Macaca fascicularis: one gene and its partners. The protein of the gene in region 1 interacts with the protein of each later gene in a pairwise test. Links are inferred from orthologs where the notes say so. Each region holds a gene or a part of one and is shown on either strand. Other genes may lie near its edges.

What was found. The genes of interacting proteins can lie anywhere in the genome.
Region 2: the proteins of MKRN3 (region 1) and protein BEX2 interact in binary tests that used the Homo sapiens proteins (3 or more experiments, as listed by UniProt). The two-hybrid records come from large-scale screens. The link is inferred for Macaca fascicularis from reciprocal best matches to the Homo sapiens genes MKRN3 and BEX2.
Region 3: the proteins of MKRN3 (region 1) and SFN interact in binary tests that used the Homo sapiens proteins (3 or more experiments, as listed by UniProt). The two-hybrid records come from large-scale screens. The link is inferred for Macaca fascicularis from reciprocal best matches to the Homo sapiens genes MKRN3 and SFN.

The regions. Positions count from the first base shown.
Region 1 is NC_088381.1:5,417,215-5,422,903, reverse strand, and holds the start of MKRN3 (E3 ubiquitin-protein ligase makorin-3), read left to right. Parts: upstream 1-1,684; 5' UTR 1,685-1,793; coding exon 1,794-2,995; coding exon of another isoform or gene 2,996-3,317; exon of another isoform or gene 3,318-3,575; coding exon of another isoform or gene 3,576-3,597; exon of another isoform or gene 3,598-5,689. UniProt on the Homo sapiens protein: E3 ubiquitin ligase catalyzing the covalent attachment of ubiquitin moieties onto substrate proteins.
Region 2 is NC_088395.1:109,687,438-109,692,668, reverse strand, and holds protein BEX2, read left to right. Parts: upstream 1-2,052; 5' UTR 2,053-2,459; coding exon 2,460-2,474; intron 2,475-2,623; coding exon 2,624-2,702; intron 2,703-3,076; coding exon 3,077-3,468; 3' UTR 3,469-3,711; downstream 3,712-5,231. UniProt on the Homo sapiens protein: Regulator of mitochondrial apoptosis and G1 cell cycle in breast cancer.
Region 3 is NC_088375.1:208,246,639-208,251,537, reverse strand, and holds SFN (14-3-3 protein sigma), read left to right. Parts: upstream 1-2,084; 5' UTR 2,085-2,148; coding exon 2,149-2,895; 3' UTR 2,896-3,379; downstream 3,380-4,899. UniProt on the Homo sapiens protein: Adapter protein implicated in the regulation of a large spectrum of both general and specialized signaling pathways. Binds to a large number of partners, usually by recognition of a phosphoserine or phosphothreonine motif.

The sequences.
Region 1 (5,689 bases):
CTTTGCTATTACACTAGCTAGGACTTGCAATAATAAATACAGATTTTTTTGCCTTTAGATTTATTTCAGAGGGAAAGTTTTAGAAACCTTTTAGATAATTATCTAAATTACAGATGTAACAGATCCATATTCACATTTATTTCTGCTCCTGTCATTTTTACTAATAGATGTTTCCAGCAATATGACTATTTCATGTAAATTTTCAAGTTTAATGTCCTAATTTTGTTCCTGATATTCTCTAATGATTTTTAATGCCTGTTATTAATGTAGTGATAACATATTTGAAATTACTGATGTTGGTTATTACAGCCTTCTTCATTTTTCCTTGATAAGTTTCACCAGAAATTATCTGGCTTCAATAAGCTGTTTAAAGGATTTTACTTAATTTATTTCCCTTATTTAATATTTGTTTTTCTTCATTGCTTTTCTTGGCCTTATTATTTGCTTCATTCTGCTTTCTTTGCTTTTACCTACCTAATTATAATTTAATTTGTTGACTTGGGTGATTATAAATATTCAGATATGTTTCCACTTTACAGATTTAGGCAACAAAATTTCCTCAAAGAAACTTACAGAAAAAAAAAAATCCAATAATATATAAAACGATATATCATGACACAGAAGGGCTTCTTATTAGAAACAAATTGGTCAGTTAAATATTTGAAACTCATAGCTGCAAATAATCACATTAAGAGAATAAAGGGAAAAACAAGATTATCTCAAAAAATATATAAAACTACATGACAGAATTCAGTATGCAGTCATGATACGTACTCTCAGCAAAGTAGGAATACAAAAAAATGATTAATCCACTACACGTATCTGCAAAAATGACAAAACGCTTATATATGGAAATTAAAGACCATTCCTTTGTGGATAGTATGCCACAACACAGCACAGATGGGGTTGAAAGAAAGCAAGAGAAACAAAGGGCTGCCATGAATTAAACCAGTAGAGAAAATAAAAGCCTGGGTCATGCAGGGGACAGTGCCTTATTCAGCCAGCATCAGGAATGATTGAAGTCTGGGGCTTCTACACAGTGGGAAAACGAGCATAGTAATCACAATAAAGAAAGACATCTGAAAGGTGCTAACTTAGCCTCGGATCAGAAGCGCTGTCTGCTAATGCCTTGCTGGTGAAAAGCGTATCCTGCGTAAGCCCTCAGAAATCCCAGAAAACAAAGACCAAAAGAAACGACGCTTTGTCAACAGAGCAAATCGAAAAAATCTTCCAGCAGTGACAGGGCATTAAAAAAAAAAAAACGCAGACATAAGATGGAGTGAATCAAAAAAGGATTTATCTAATTCATGTATGAAATGTTTCAGAATCTATTGGATTCTAATTTTTTTAAAGCAGACAGATACGAAAATACAACGAAGACGTGCATGACTGAAACCAAAAGAGATTAAAGTAAAACCTCATTCTCCTGAGGAAACGGTGTGAGGAGGGAATTAGGGGCTGCCGGAACACAGCGAAGCAGAGGCAGAAGGCAGACAAAAGGGGCTGGGTTGGTCCCTGCCTGTGTGAACAAAAAATATGTCAGATTGGAAAATTGCGGTAAAATCCAAGCGCGGCGCGTACGTTGCCCCCACAGGAAGTGTCCGCCGCGCTGCCTGTGCCCGGAAGTAGGTAGGAACACACAGTCACAGGCAGCCAAGAACCGGGGGGGAAGAAAAAGAGATGCACACTTCCCCTAGAGAAGCCTCCGAGCGCGGCCGCGACTCCGGGCCTCAAGCCCATAAAGAAAAAATACCGGAGACGTTCTGGCACCATTTCGGGGTAAAGAAGCTGCCATGGAAGAGCCTGCAGCTCCCTCAGAAGCCCAGGAGGCAGCCGGGGCCCAGGCAGGTGCTGAGGCAGCAGGGGAGGGTGTGTCTGGGCCGGACCTTCCCGTCTGTGAGCCCTCCAGGGAATCTGCTGCTCCAGATTCGGCCCTGCCACATGCGCCTGTGGGCTGGGCCCCCTTCCCTGTAGCTCCAGTCCCTGCCCACCTCCGCACAGGAGGCCTGAGGCCTGCACCAGCCTCAGGAGGAGGAGCATGGCGCAATCCGTTTCCAAGCCGAAGCAGCGGCATTTGGACAAAGCAGATCATCTGCAGGTATTATATACATGGGCAGTGCAAGGAGGGGGAGAACTGTCGCTATTCCCACGACCTTTCTGGTCGGAAGATGGCCACTGAGGGCAGCGTTTCGCCGCCTGGGGCCTCTGCAGGTGGAGGCCCTAGCACGGCTGCGCACATCGAGCCCCCGACTCAGGAAGTGGCGGAAGCCCCCCCGGCTGCATCCTCCCTTTCCTTGCCTGTGATTGGCTCGGCTGCTGAAAGGGGTTTCTTTGAAGCCGAGAGAGACAATGCAGACCGTGGAGCTGCTGGAGGAGCAGGTGTAGAAAGCTGGGCGGATGCCATTGAGTTTGTTCCAGGGCAGCCCTACCGGGGCCGCTGGGTTGCATCTGCCCCCGAGGCTCCTCCACAGAGCTCAGAGACTGAGAGGAATCAGATGGCTGTGGGCAGGGGGTTGCGGTTTTGCTATTATGCTTCCAGGGGAGTTTGCTTTCGTGGGGAGAGCTGTATGTTCCTCCATGGAGACATATGCGACATGTGTGGGCTGCAGGCCTTGCACCCCATGGATGCTGCCCAGAGGGAAGACCATATAAGGGCCTGCATTGAAGCACACGAGAAAGATATGGAACTCTCGTTTGCTGTGCAGCGTGGTATGGACAAGGTGTGTGGCATCTGCATGGAGGTTGTCTATGAGAAAGCCAACCCCAATGACCGCCGCTTTGGCATTCTTTCCAATTGCAACCATACCTTCTGTATTAGGTGTATCCGCAGGTGGAGAAGTGCCAGACAGTTTGATAACAGGATCATCAAGTCTTGCCCGCAGTGCAGGGTCACCTCCGACTTGGTCGTTCCCAGTGAGTTCTGGGTGGAGGAGGAGGAAGAGAAGCAGAAACTTATTCAGCAATACAAGGAGGCAATGAGCAACAAGGCCTGCAGGTATTTTGCGGAAGGCAGGGGTAACTGCCCATTTGGAGACACATGCTTTTACAAGCATGAATACCCTGAGGGCTGGGGAGATGAGCCTCCTGGGCCAGGTGGTGGGTCATTCGGCGCATACTGGCATCAACTTGTGGAGCCTGTGCGAATGGGAGAGGGCGACATGCTCTATAAAAGCCGTAAGAAGGAGCTTGTCGTGCTTCGACTGGCCAGTCTGTTGTTTAAGCGGTTTCTTTTACTGAGAGATGAGTTACCCTTCTCTGAGGACCAGTGGGACTTGCTTCATTATGAGCTGGAAGAATATTTCAATTTGAATCTGTAGCATTGTGCTGTGGCATGTGGTCTAGTCTGCTGAGGTTCTGTCGTCTGCTATTGCCTGTTTTCCCTGTGTTGACACTCTTATTGCTTTCAGGGGCTGTTGAGGCAGTGCTTCTGTTTTCTTGTCTATTCTGCATATCTTTCCTCCTAGGATTATGGTGATTATCTGTGTTTAAAAAAATAAGTCCTTAAAGTTACTGTTTTGGTGAAATTAATATTAATGTCAGCTTATGGCTTTTTTTGTCATCTCTGTTTTCAACAGGATTAACTCAGTTCTAGTGTAGTGTTTACTGAATTTCCACACTTATTTTGAAGACCCTCAAGAGTAAATGTGGCAGAGTGAAAGGAGAAGTTTTAATTGAACTAGTAGCTTTGTGCTATAATAGCCTTAACAAATGGACCCTCGCAGGGTCTTGCAGCTGCTCATCTGTTTACAGTTTGTTCTTTCCCTCCTTCCCCTTCAAGTGCACTTGTTAAACTGTGATGAACTTGTGATTTTGTGTTTTACTTGACCAAAACCAAGTGTATATGTTTACATGTTTTTATCCTGTTTAGCTTGACATGAAATAATTTATATTTGGAAATATATATTTAAGAATGATATATATATAATATATATGTATAAGAGCTATGTATTTGAAAATATATATAAAAGAATATACATCACAATATTTATGTTTATGTAATAAAGTAAATACAGAGCCGAAAGCTGAAGGTCAAAGCCTAACAGGATTGGCTGTTGTGTGGATGTGAGTTGTGTGAATAATCATTCTGTCCCTTGCACAGAAGCCAGTAATTAGCATCTAATGAAAAGGACTGTTCAAGTGGGTCTGGCCAAATGTAACAGATGCAGATCTTAGAGGACTTACAAAGCACTATATTGGTAATTCTTACAATGGCATTAATAGCTCACTCTATAAAAACAGAAATTGTGTTCCTACGCAGTTTTGCCACCTTCTCAATAATTCTTTGTAACAGCAAATCCTAGGCTCAGAGGCACAGTGCTTTGTATTTGATATACAAAGTCTCTAGACTTTCCCAACAAGGGGCTTTAGACAAAAGATTTCAACATAAAAGTAACAAGATTATAAAAGGGAAAATAGAACAAAAATACTAAAACCAGTGAGAATAAAATAATGGAAAGATAATAAAATATAGAAAGCACTAAAAACTAAGTGTAAGAGTAATATAGAAAATTTACATACAACTTAGATTAAATGAAAGCAGTTTAAAGACTGAAAGTCAAAGGCTATAAGACTTCATTACAATCAAAATGAAACATCCTATTTAAAATACACACAACATAAAAATACAGAAGCATTCAAAGTAGTAAGATGGGAAAAAAAACCAAACAGGTGCTGTGACTGTCTTGATTGTAGACAATGTTTATGGTAAGGATAAACACTTTGCTGGAGATAAAAAGGAATGATACATAAACATTAAATTGTAATTCACAGGAATATATAACTGTTCAAATTTTGTATACATTTAATAACGTTGTATCAGATACACAACTGATAAAAATAGAAAATCCTAACTCCAGACTCTTAGTGGACAATTTTAATACACCTTTTTAGTGACCAAACAAGCAAAGAAAAAATGAATGTGAAAGATAATTATGCCATTTTAATGACTTACCTGCATAACTTATGATCTGCATCAACTGCAAATGCACTTACCTTGGCTGAAGTAGCTGAAAAATATGCTAGGAGTGTGAATCTTGAGTCCCAGGTTATTCACACTGTCCTGACTGTCCAACAAATATGGCACATTTAAGAGTTTTTATACCATGTAATTTGCATGCAAAAGGATGAATTTGTCAGAACTACCTAATGTGGTACTTGCTATAATTTTTCTCATTATCCTGATGAGGTAAATAATAGAGAATTTAAAGGTTTTGCCCATAGAGTTTATGACCCATAGCTGTGAATTAGTGGAACAAAGACTGGAACTCAAACAGTGTATGTCCAGAGCAGTTGCACTTACCATGTTCACTAGGAGCAGGTGGACTAGCTGAGTGTAGCTGCTGGAGACGCAAGTACAGCCTTTAAGTATGGATGCTTCAGCCAAGTGGAGCAAAGATGGACATGAATAAGCTCCCGCAGAATATAGGAGCCATGGGGCTTTTGTCTATAGGCTGCCAGCTCAGTGATTTTAGTCCACTGCTTCAGAGTGTGCCTCAGCCTCCTATAATTTTACATTGCCTCTCCCTTCTTACATGACTCCTGGTGCTAGTAAGTACCTCAGCCTATTTGCCTGGACCTTTTGCCATATTCCTTTCCTTTTGATTCCTCTTAGCGAAAGAATTCACCAATTAGGACACCCTTGATGCCTGACTATCACTGGCATGCAAGGTGAGTGACAGATTCCAAATAA
Region 2 (5,231 bases), on another chromosome or scaffold:
TCTGCCGCCCGGGTTCAAGCGATTCTCCTGCCTCAGCCTCCCAAATAACTGGGACTACAGCCGCCTGCCATTGCGCCCGGCTAATTTTCGCATTTTTAGTAGAGATGGGATTTCACCGTGTTAGCCAGGGTGGTCTGGATCTCCTGACCTCGTGATCCGCCCGCCTTGGCCTCCCAAAGTGCTGGGATTACAGGCGTGAGCCACTGCACCCCGCCCACCTCTTCGTATTTTCATACACATGGTTGAAGTCTGCTCATCAACAGAAAGTGAGCTGTTGAGATTTCCATATGGATTGCACTAAATTTATAGATGAATTTGGGTATAATTGACATCCTTAAAATATTGAGTGTTTCCATTCATGATCATGGTAATACCTATACTTAGTTATTCTTTAATGTTCTTGAAACTATTTTATAATTTTCAGTGTAGAGGTCTTGAAAGTATTTAATTAGATTTATTCCTAGATATTTGATTTTTAGCAAAACTTATTGGGCTATAATTTACATACAATAAGATACACACCTTTTAACTATATAGTTCAATGATTTCAACAAATGTATTTATCAATGGAGTCACTACCTCATTAAGATACAGAATGTTTTCCTCAGCTGAGAGAGTTCCATTATGCCTCTTTGCAATCAGAAAAACCCCAACTTTCAAGCCAGGCAAAAACTGATTTGATTCAACTTATATCAGTACAGATTAGTTTTGCCTGTTTTAGAACTTATATAAATGCAATCATGCAGAAAACAATTGTGGCTGGTGTCTTTATAGATACAATTTTTTTTTTCATTTTTTTAAGATTCATCTATGTTACTGTTTGTATCAGTAGCTTGTCACTTTTTTATTGCTTAGCAGCTTTAAAATGTATGAATACATCACAATTTGTTTATCAGTTCACTTGTTGGACATTTAGATTTTTATCAACTTTGGGGCTATCATAAAGGAAATTTCTATGAACTTTCCTATGCCAATATTTTTGAGAAAATATGTTTTAAAATCTGTTGGGAAAATTCCAAAAAGTGGAATTTCTAGGACATATGGTAAGCCTAAGTTTAACTTTTTAAGAAACTGCCACCAAGTCTTGGAGTGGTTGAACCCCTCACCAACAATCAATGAGAGTTTCTATTGTTACTATTTTCAAAAGTGCTTGGGACTGTCAGACATTTTAAGTTCAGCAATTATAATGGGTGTGCAGTGGTTTTTCATTCTGGCTTTATTTTACATTTCCCTGATAGTTAATGAGGTTGAGCATCTTTTCATGAGCTCGTTGGTAATTTGTGTATGTAGTTTTGTGAAATGTTTATTCAAATCTATTATTTGCCTTCTTGAGTTTTCGAAGTTCTTTATATATGCTCTGAATTCAAACCCACTGTCAGATACACATATTGTGAATATTTACTCCCAGCTTCTCACTTCATTTTCTTAACCATGTGGTTTAAATGGTAGTTTTTAATTTTGATAAATCCAATTTCTCATTTTTTTTTTTGTGATCTGTTCTTTTTCTGTCCTAAGGGATTGTTTTCTCAAAGATTATAAAGTTTTTCTCTATGTTTTATTCTAGAAGTTTTCTAATTTGAGTTTTTACATTTAGGTTTATGACCATTTTGAATTAATTTGTGTATAGTATAGATAAAAGGCAAGGCTCCTGTTTTTCCTTTAAGAATTCTGTTATTTCAGCACCATTTGTTTAAAAGACTATACTTTCCATATCGAATTACTTTGACATCTTTGTCAAAAATTAATTAACAGGCAGAAGGAGGTGAATCCTGGGAGCCAAGGGCAGAGAGAGGCAAGTCCCCAGAGAAGTGGGAATGGCCAACAGCTCCCTGAGAAGATGCCTTCCGTCCTTCCTGGGCAGGCAAGGGAAGTCTCAAGAATACACAAGAGAAGGGAGAGTGGCAGAGCCCAGGCTGGGGATGTTAAAAGGGACTCACGGTGAGGATGGGGGCGGGCCCGAAAGTCCCACCTGACTCCAGGCTGCAGGAGGGAGCGTGGGACGGGGGCGGAGCCGCTGGCGATGACAACAGCCCCACGTGATCGGCCAACACTGAGTCTTGCCTCGCTCTGGCGTCGGAGCCGCCGTCGCTCGCTCCTTTCTCGGCTGTGGTACCTGTTCCCGGTGGCCCTGAGGACGTGCGGGCCAGGTGCGGCCCCGAAAGCAGGAAGCGGAGGGGGAGCAGGTAAGGGAGACGGAGGGGGTCCCTGGGGTTGGTGTGGGGGAGCGGCCCCGGCCTGCGGATGCCCCACCCCCGAGGAGCCGCGCTGAGACGCAGCCGGTGCACGATGCAGCCCCGGGGCCCCGCCGCGGGACCGCTAGCCTTTAGTGAGCGGAGGAGTGCCTGGCCCCGCGGGAGCCGGCGGTCCTGAGGCTGCGGTCCTGAGGCTACGGCCCTTCTGAAGCACCTGCCTCCGCCACCAGCGCAATCTTTTCTGAGATCCCTGCTCCGCCCTTCTTGATGCAGAAAATGGTGGTCAGCTTGGGGGGCGGGGCGGCTGAGGCGCGGGGAGAGGGCGGCGAGGAGGGCCCGGGCCCGGCGCGGGGAAGGGGCCGGGTGGCGGCGGGTCCTCGCTAGTGTTCCGCTGCAGCAGCCTCCACTCTTCCCACCCCGGCCGTCTGCAGGTCTGCGAGGCTAAGTGTCGAGGCGACGCACCTCACGTCGAGAATCGGGAGGAGGAGGAGACTGCAAGGATAGGCCCAGGTCGGTGCGAGGGACGGTGGCGGGGCGGGGGTCAGAACATGACGAAAGCCCAGTCTGGGACCCCAGTCGGTGCCTTCACTGCTACGCTTCGCAATCCCCCACCCCCACCCCTTCTTCGTCCTCCATTTTGGCGCCTGCAGAGGCCTGGAGATGGATCTGCAGAGAAGATGGTGGGCTTTGCGGGAGAGAGGGGCGCGGACTGCCCCCCCCCACCCCGAGGGTACACGGGGCCTCTCTGATGGGAAAAAAAATGAAATTTAAAAAAGGCCTTTGAAATCCAGGGCTCTGAATTTTGAAAGGTGGGTAGTCGGGCCTCTGTCCTCGGTGCTGATCAGTTCACCAAGAATTGAGTCCGTTTTCTCTCTGTCTCATAGGAGTAATGGAGTCCAAAGAGGAACGAGCGTTAAACAATCTCAACGTGGAAAATGTCAACCAGGAAAATGATGAAAAAGATGAAAAGGAGCAAGTTGCTAATAAAGGGGAGCCCTTGGCCCTCCCTTTGAATGTTGATGAATACTGTGTGCCTAGAGGAAATCGTAGGCGGTTCCGTGTTAGGCAGCCCACCCTGCAGTATAGATGGGACATAATGCATAGGCTTGGAGAGCCACAGGCAAGGATGAGAGAGGAGAATATGGAAAGGATTGGGGAGGAGGTGAGACAGCTGATGGAAAAGCTGAGGGAAAAACAGTTGAGTCATAGTCTGCGGGCAGTCAGCACTGACCCCCCTCACCATGACCATCACGATGAGTTTTGCCTTATGCCCTGAATCCTGATGGTTTCCCTGAAGTTAATAGGGAGACCCCAGCTTCCTAAACTTACACATTTGTGGTGTACCTTTGTCGTAAACCTTTTGATGTTACCTATTTCTTGTGGGTCTCCTATTACCAGCTTCAAACTGAATGTTGTTTTGACCCAGTTTGTAAGTTTCTGTCAGCAGGGGAGTTTTACCTACTGCATGGAAAGATGCTCATTATATATTGTGAAGTTAATAAAACAGTTTTAAAAACCATTCTCTGCATTCTTTTTTACTTTAAATCTTAAATATGAACATAAACAGTCATATATGTACACATATATACACATATATAGAAAATCGTGTTTATCTTTGTGGTAGAATTAAGAGGGAGTTTATTCTTGCGTATCCATAATTTCTTATTTTTTAAAATGGAACACGTATTACTTATAAAAAGCAATGTGACCACCTTATAAAAGCAATGTGAGCACTTAATAAACACTTGTGACAGAATCTCAATTTTAACTTGCTTCTGGGATCTCTTTTTAGAAATGTTTGAGAGACACATCTCTTTGAAGATCATAATATTTATCAGTAAGATGAAGACAATCACCTCCCAGGCTTATTGTATGGACCAGAAAAGGTAATGAGGTTGTAAGCTTTCTCCCAAGTTCTTGTTCTTACTGACATGCATGACCCAACCCTTTAGATATTCCCTTCTGTTATTAGAGGAAATCTCCAAGGTGAGGTCTTCCCTATATTCACAAGTCCAGTGGGCTAAGGAGTAGGTACTTTCATTCCTCTGCTGCTGTGCTCTATTCTCATCATCTCCCCTGGGTATTACTCTGTTTTCTAGGTTTTGCTCCCTACACTGGCTCCTTCCACTGCAGATGTTCAGGAATCCTCAAAGTGAGAAAGTCCCACCAATTTCTCTGGAATTTCCAGTGGATTGAATCCTTGCTCTACTCTACAAAAGAGTGAACAAATCCCCTCTCCCTGCTTTGTTTCATGGAAAAACATTGTCTAGTTCTTTCCTTACAGGTAGTTCTGTCCCAGGAAACCTCCTCCTCAGTATAGCAGACTATGTAAGATGTGTGAGGAAGCACAGCCCACTTTCAATCTGAGATAGTCCCACCTCATACCAGCTCACATTCACCTGAAATCCATGAATGTACAGAATTTTGTTATCTATATGGAGTTGGACATCGGGAAATCACTTAGTGAATCAATGGATACACAAATGAGATCTTTATGAGAAGTCTATGGGAAGACAATTGGGGTTAAGTGTCCCAGCAGAACTAGGGAAATAAAATCCCCGTCAATTTGTGCTAATTAGATGAAATACACACATTTTATGTATGAGGACAGTCTCATAAACTTAAAGTCAGGATTCCAGAACAGGAGTTGGCAAATAACCCAAATCTGGCCCACTGCCTATTATTTGGCTTATAAGAATGATGTTTACATTTTTAAAGGTTGAAAAACTTGAGGATATTACACCAAAACTATGAAATTCAAGTTTTGGTGTCCATAAATTTTTATTGGAACAATGGCCTGCTTATTCATTTACATGTTATCTATGGCTATTTTTGTACTACAGTGGCAAAGTTGAGTAGTTGTGAAAGAGATAGTATAGCTAGCTTACAATGACTACATATTTTTTATCTGGTCCTAACAGAAAAAGTTTGCCACTCCTGTTCTAGAATATAACATTGCAATGGAACTTGTGAAACCAAAGGGGAAAAGTGGATAGGCAGATGAAAATGTCACATAACATCACAAACCCCAGACATGAA
Region 3 (4,899 bases), on another chromosome or scaffold:
GCAGGAGGATCACCTGAGGCCAAGGAAGTTGAGAGTGCAGTGAGCTGTGATCATACCACTGTACTTCAGCCTGGACAACAGAGTGAGACCCTATCCCAAAAAAAGAAAATAGAAAAGAAAATCAAGGGGAAGCAAAATCAGTCAGTCTCACTACCTCAAGATACCCTCTATAAGCTGGTATTTTCGTGTGGTTCCTATCGTTTTCTACGTCAGTTCTCTGAATTGAGCAAAATCTCTGGGCTGTCAAACCTGAAATCCCCTTTACTTCCTTGGAAACCCTGTAGCATTAGTCCAGACATGTCCCTACTCCTCCTTGTGGCAAAAGAGAAGAATCTCATCTTTGGTCCCCAGAGTTCTGGCCTAAGCCTCCCTCTAGGAGGGAAGATGAGTGTTCAGACACTCAGGGTACCTGGGGGAGACACAGGCCTGTGAAATTATCCTAGCTCAACTATTAGGCGGGCAGAATCCCAGTGAAAGGAGCCGTACCCGAGGCCCATCTAAGCTTTGGCTAGGGGTGGGGCAGATAAGCAGGAATCCATCCCTGTAGGCTCAATGCCAACACCCTTTGGTGAAACTCCTGATGAAACTTGAGGCCAGGGCCCCAGCAAGCAGGGAAAGAAGGTTGGCAACAGAGGTCTCCATCTGAGGACTCTGCCAGGGGTCAGAGGTGGGGTAATGGTCAAAAGGAAGGAAGTGGCTCATGCCCATAATCCCAGCAGTTTGGGAGGCTGAGGCAGGAGAATTGCTTGAGCCCAGGAGTTTGAGACCTGCCTGGGCAATGTAGTGAGATCCTGTCTCTATTTAAAAAAAAAAAAAAGGAAGGAACAGGGAAACTTCTGAGAGACAGGCTGGGGGAGTAGCTGGGATTGCTGCCCCATAAAACAGAATGGTATGTGTCACTGCCACCTCCCTTTCTCAGTCCTCTCTCTCCCCAGGTTGCTAGCGTCCCCCCTGGGGGATCAAACTGGACTGCTTCCCAGCCTCAGACAGAGAGCAGTCTGAGTCAGGCAGGAAAGTGGGACAGCCGGGGAGCTGGACCCCACCCTCTGTGAACCCCACTGGTACCTGATGGCATGTGGCTTGGAGAGGGCAAGTGACCTGGTGTGGAGGGCCAGAGGGTAAATCCTCAAACAAGTGGCAACAGGCCACCAACTTGAAAGGGAAAATTGTGTAGTGATGGGAAATGTGTCCAACAAACCTACTGGGTGACTAATTACAAAGGCTGGGCTGGAGCGTCAGAGGCTGCTTGTTAAACACTTCATTAAGTGGCACTCTGAAAGCTGCCACCTGCGCATTCTGGGAGCTCAGAGGGGACCCTGAGGGGGAGTGAGGCCTGAGGGATGGAACCATCTTCAGGTAGATTGAGAAAGAGCCTGGATCTCACTTCCAAACACAGCCTGGAGCTCATAGGTCAGAGACTTCAACGGGAGAAAAGCTAAAGGAAGCAGGGTGCAGAAAGGAGTTTCAGGGAAGTGGTGGCTATGTGACTTTGAGCAAATCTCACCCCTCTCTGAGACTTAGTGTTCCCATCTCTGTGGTCCTGTGTGTGTCACAGAGACACAGTGGGGATTAAATTCGATGGTGAATATGAAAGTGCTTGGGAAACTCTATGGCCCTACCTAAACATAAGTTATCCTCACCTGAATCAAGGGGAGAAGTTACCTGGCAGGATTGGGAACCCCATCCTCCTGAACCTTTATGGGCTCTGTCGAGGCAGAAGCAGCCAGGGGCTAAAGCCGCCCTTAGCCTCTGTAAGGACGCTGTGAAGGAGGATCTGATTTGAGAAGCCAGGCAGTTTCCTGATGTGAGCAGCCATATGATGCCAGCCCCGAACAAGAGGGGGCAGCCTAGAGCCTGGAAAGGTGCCTGTGCAGGTGGGGCCCACGCCCAGATTTCTTCTGCTGACTGTTCTGATGACTCACCCCCACATCCCAGCCTTTTTACCTTGACTGCAGAGCCGGAAAGGGTGTGGGGAGGAGAGGAGAGGGAGGCAGGTCTTGGGCCCTGGTCCCGCCCCCTGCTCCTCCCCACCCTTCTCTGGGCCTGGCCACCCAGCCAAAAGGCAGGCCAAGAGCAGGAGAGGCACAGAGTCCGGCATTGGTCCCAGGCAGCAGTTAGCCCGCCGCCCGCCTGTGTGTCCCCAGAGCCATGGAGAGAGCCAGTCTGATCCAGAAGGCCAAGCTGGCAGAGCAGGCCGAACGTTATGAGGACATGGCAGCCTTCATGAAGGGCGCCGTGGAGAAAGGTGAGGAGCTCTCCTGCGAAGAGCGAAACCTGCTCTCAGTAGCCTACAAGAATGTGGTGGGCGGCCAGAGGGCTGCCTGGAGGGTCCTGTCCAGTATTGAGCAGAAAAGCAATGAGGAGGGCTCGGAGGAGAAGGGCCCCGAGGTGCGTGAGTACCGGGAGAAGGTGGAGACTGAGCTCCGGGGCGTGTGCGACACCGTGCTGGGCCTGCTGGACAGCCATCTCATCAAGGAGGCTGGGGACGCGGAGAGCAGGGTCTTCTACCTGAAGATGAAGGGCGACTACTACCGCTACTTGGCCGAGGTGGCCACTGGTGACGACAAGAAGCGCATCATCGACTCAGCCCGGTCAGCCTACCAGGAGGCCATGGACATCAGCAAGAAGGAGATGCCGCCCACCAATCCCATCCGCCTGGGCCTGGCCCTGAACTTTTCCGTCTTCCACTACGAGATCGCCAACAGCCCCGAGGAGGCCATCTCGCTGGCCAAGACCACTTTCGATGAGGCCATGGCTGATCTGCACACCCTCAGCGAGGACTCCTACAAAGACAGCACCCTCATCATGCAGCTGCTGCGAGACAACCTGACGCTGTGGACGGCCGACAACGCCGGGGAAGAGGGGGGCGAGGCTCCCCAGGAGCCCCAGAGCTGAGTGTTGCCCACCACCGCCCCACCCTGCCCTGCCCCCTTCAGTCCCCCACCCTGCCGAGAGGACTAATATGGGGTGGGAGGCCCCACCCTTCTCCCCCAGGCGCTGTTCTTACTCCAAACGGCTCCGTGGAGAGGGACTGGCAGAGCTGAGGCCACCTGGGGCTGGGGATCCCACTCTTCTTGCAGCTGTTGAGCGCACCTAACCACTGGTCATGACCCCAGCCCTGCTCTCCGCACCGCTTCCTCCCGACCCCAGGACCAGGCTACTTCTCCCCTCCCTCTTGCCTCACTCCTGCCCCTGCTGCCTCTGGTCGTAGGAATTGAGGAATGTCCCGCCTTGTGGCTGAGAACTGGACAGTGGCAGGGGCCGGAGATGGGTGTGTGTGTGTGTGCGCGCGCGCGCCAGTGCAAGACCGACATTGAAGGAAAGCATGTCTGCTGGGTGTGACCATGTTTCCTCTCAATAAAGTTCCCCTGTGACACTCCTCCTGTCTCTTTCCAGTTCTTGGCGATGGGTTGGGAGTGGAACTGGAATCTGATTTAGAGATCCTGACTTTCGACCTCTGAGTTAGGGCCCTGACCTCCCTGGGTGGCTCAGTGACCTGCACGCAAGACTTTGAGTCCAGGTGAGGCCGGGGTCCGGCTGTCTCCATCAGGGCGGCCCCAGTCAAACTGGATGGGACCGGGAGGGTCAGGTGAACCCACAGGAGGCGCCGAGCCTCCTCTGCAGGGCCGAGGGGAGGTGAGTGGGAGCCGCAGCGCGGGAGGCTGACGAGCTCAGGTGGAGCGGGACAGGAAATAGTGAAGTCTCCGGCATGAGATCTAAGGACAGCGCTGCAGTAGTGAGCGGCACTGAGCACCCGATTTACAGGCGGGTCACAGTCTCATCAAGGGCTCAGATCTCAGCGGAGGGAAGTACGATTTGAGGCAGGGGTGCAGTGCCGCCATAAAAGCCCAGATCTTAGGAGAGGGTCACGTCCCAAAGAGTTCGGAAATGGAGACAAAAGGAAACGGGCTGGTGGGGAGGAAGGACGAGCTGGGTGGGAATGGCCGCTGGGAGCATTGCCTGCCGAGCCAGCCGCCTCCGCTCTCTGCAGCCAGCAACACGCCGGAACCTGCGGCCGCATTGCTCGGTCTCGCCTTCACAGCCAGGACTGGAGGCGGGGCCCGAGGCTCTGCCACCCAATCACAGGAGGGAGCTGCCCCAGGGTACCACCCCGGGGGACCCGACGAGCCAATGGGAAACTGAGCGGCGGACCGCGCGCGGCGAGTTTCCCGCCGCCCGCCAGGCCTGGCGGACGCCACAACTAGCTGACTGACTGAGCGGCGCCCCCGCCGCCTGCTGAGCGCCGAGGGGCGGCGCTTTCCCGGTTTCACTCAGACAAGTTGTCACCCGTCTGGCCCGAGAGCTGGGAACCCTCTAGAGCAGCGGGACGAGGCAGGATAGCAAAATGCAGTGCCCGCCCGTTGAGTCATCAGCTCACCCAGCTGGGCCTGGGCCGGGCTGGCGGCGGGGTCGGCTGGAAAAAGGCCGCCAAGATGCCCCCACCACACTCCGGAGTCCAGGCAGCCCTGGACCTGTCGCCGAGAGGCTTGGATTGTGTCCCTGGCTGGCTGGCTGTGCGACCTTGGAAAAGCCGTTGTACATCCCTGGGCCTCAGTTTCCCTCTTGTATCATAAGGGACTTGGACTAAAGGCTAACACAAGAGTGAACATTTGCGGTTTTGGCCTGGCGCAGTGGCTCACGCCTGTAATCCCAGCACTTTGGGAGGCCGAGGTGGGCGGATCACGAGGTCAGGAGATCGAGACCATCCAGGCTAAAACAGTGAAACCCCGTCTCTACTAAAAATACAAAAAATTAGCCGGGCGTGGTGGCGGGCGCCTGTAGTCCCAGCTACTCGGGAGGCTGAGACAGAAGAATGGCGTGAACCCGGGAGGCGGAGCTTGCAGTGAGCCGAGATCGTGCCTGCAGTCCAGCCTGGGCAACAGAGTGAGACTCTGTCCC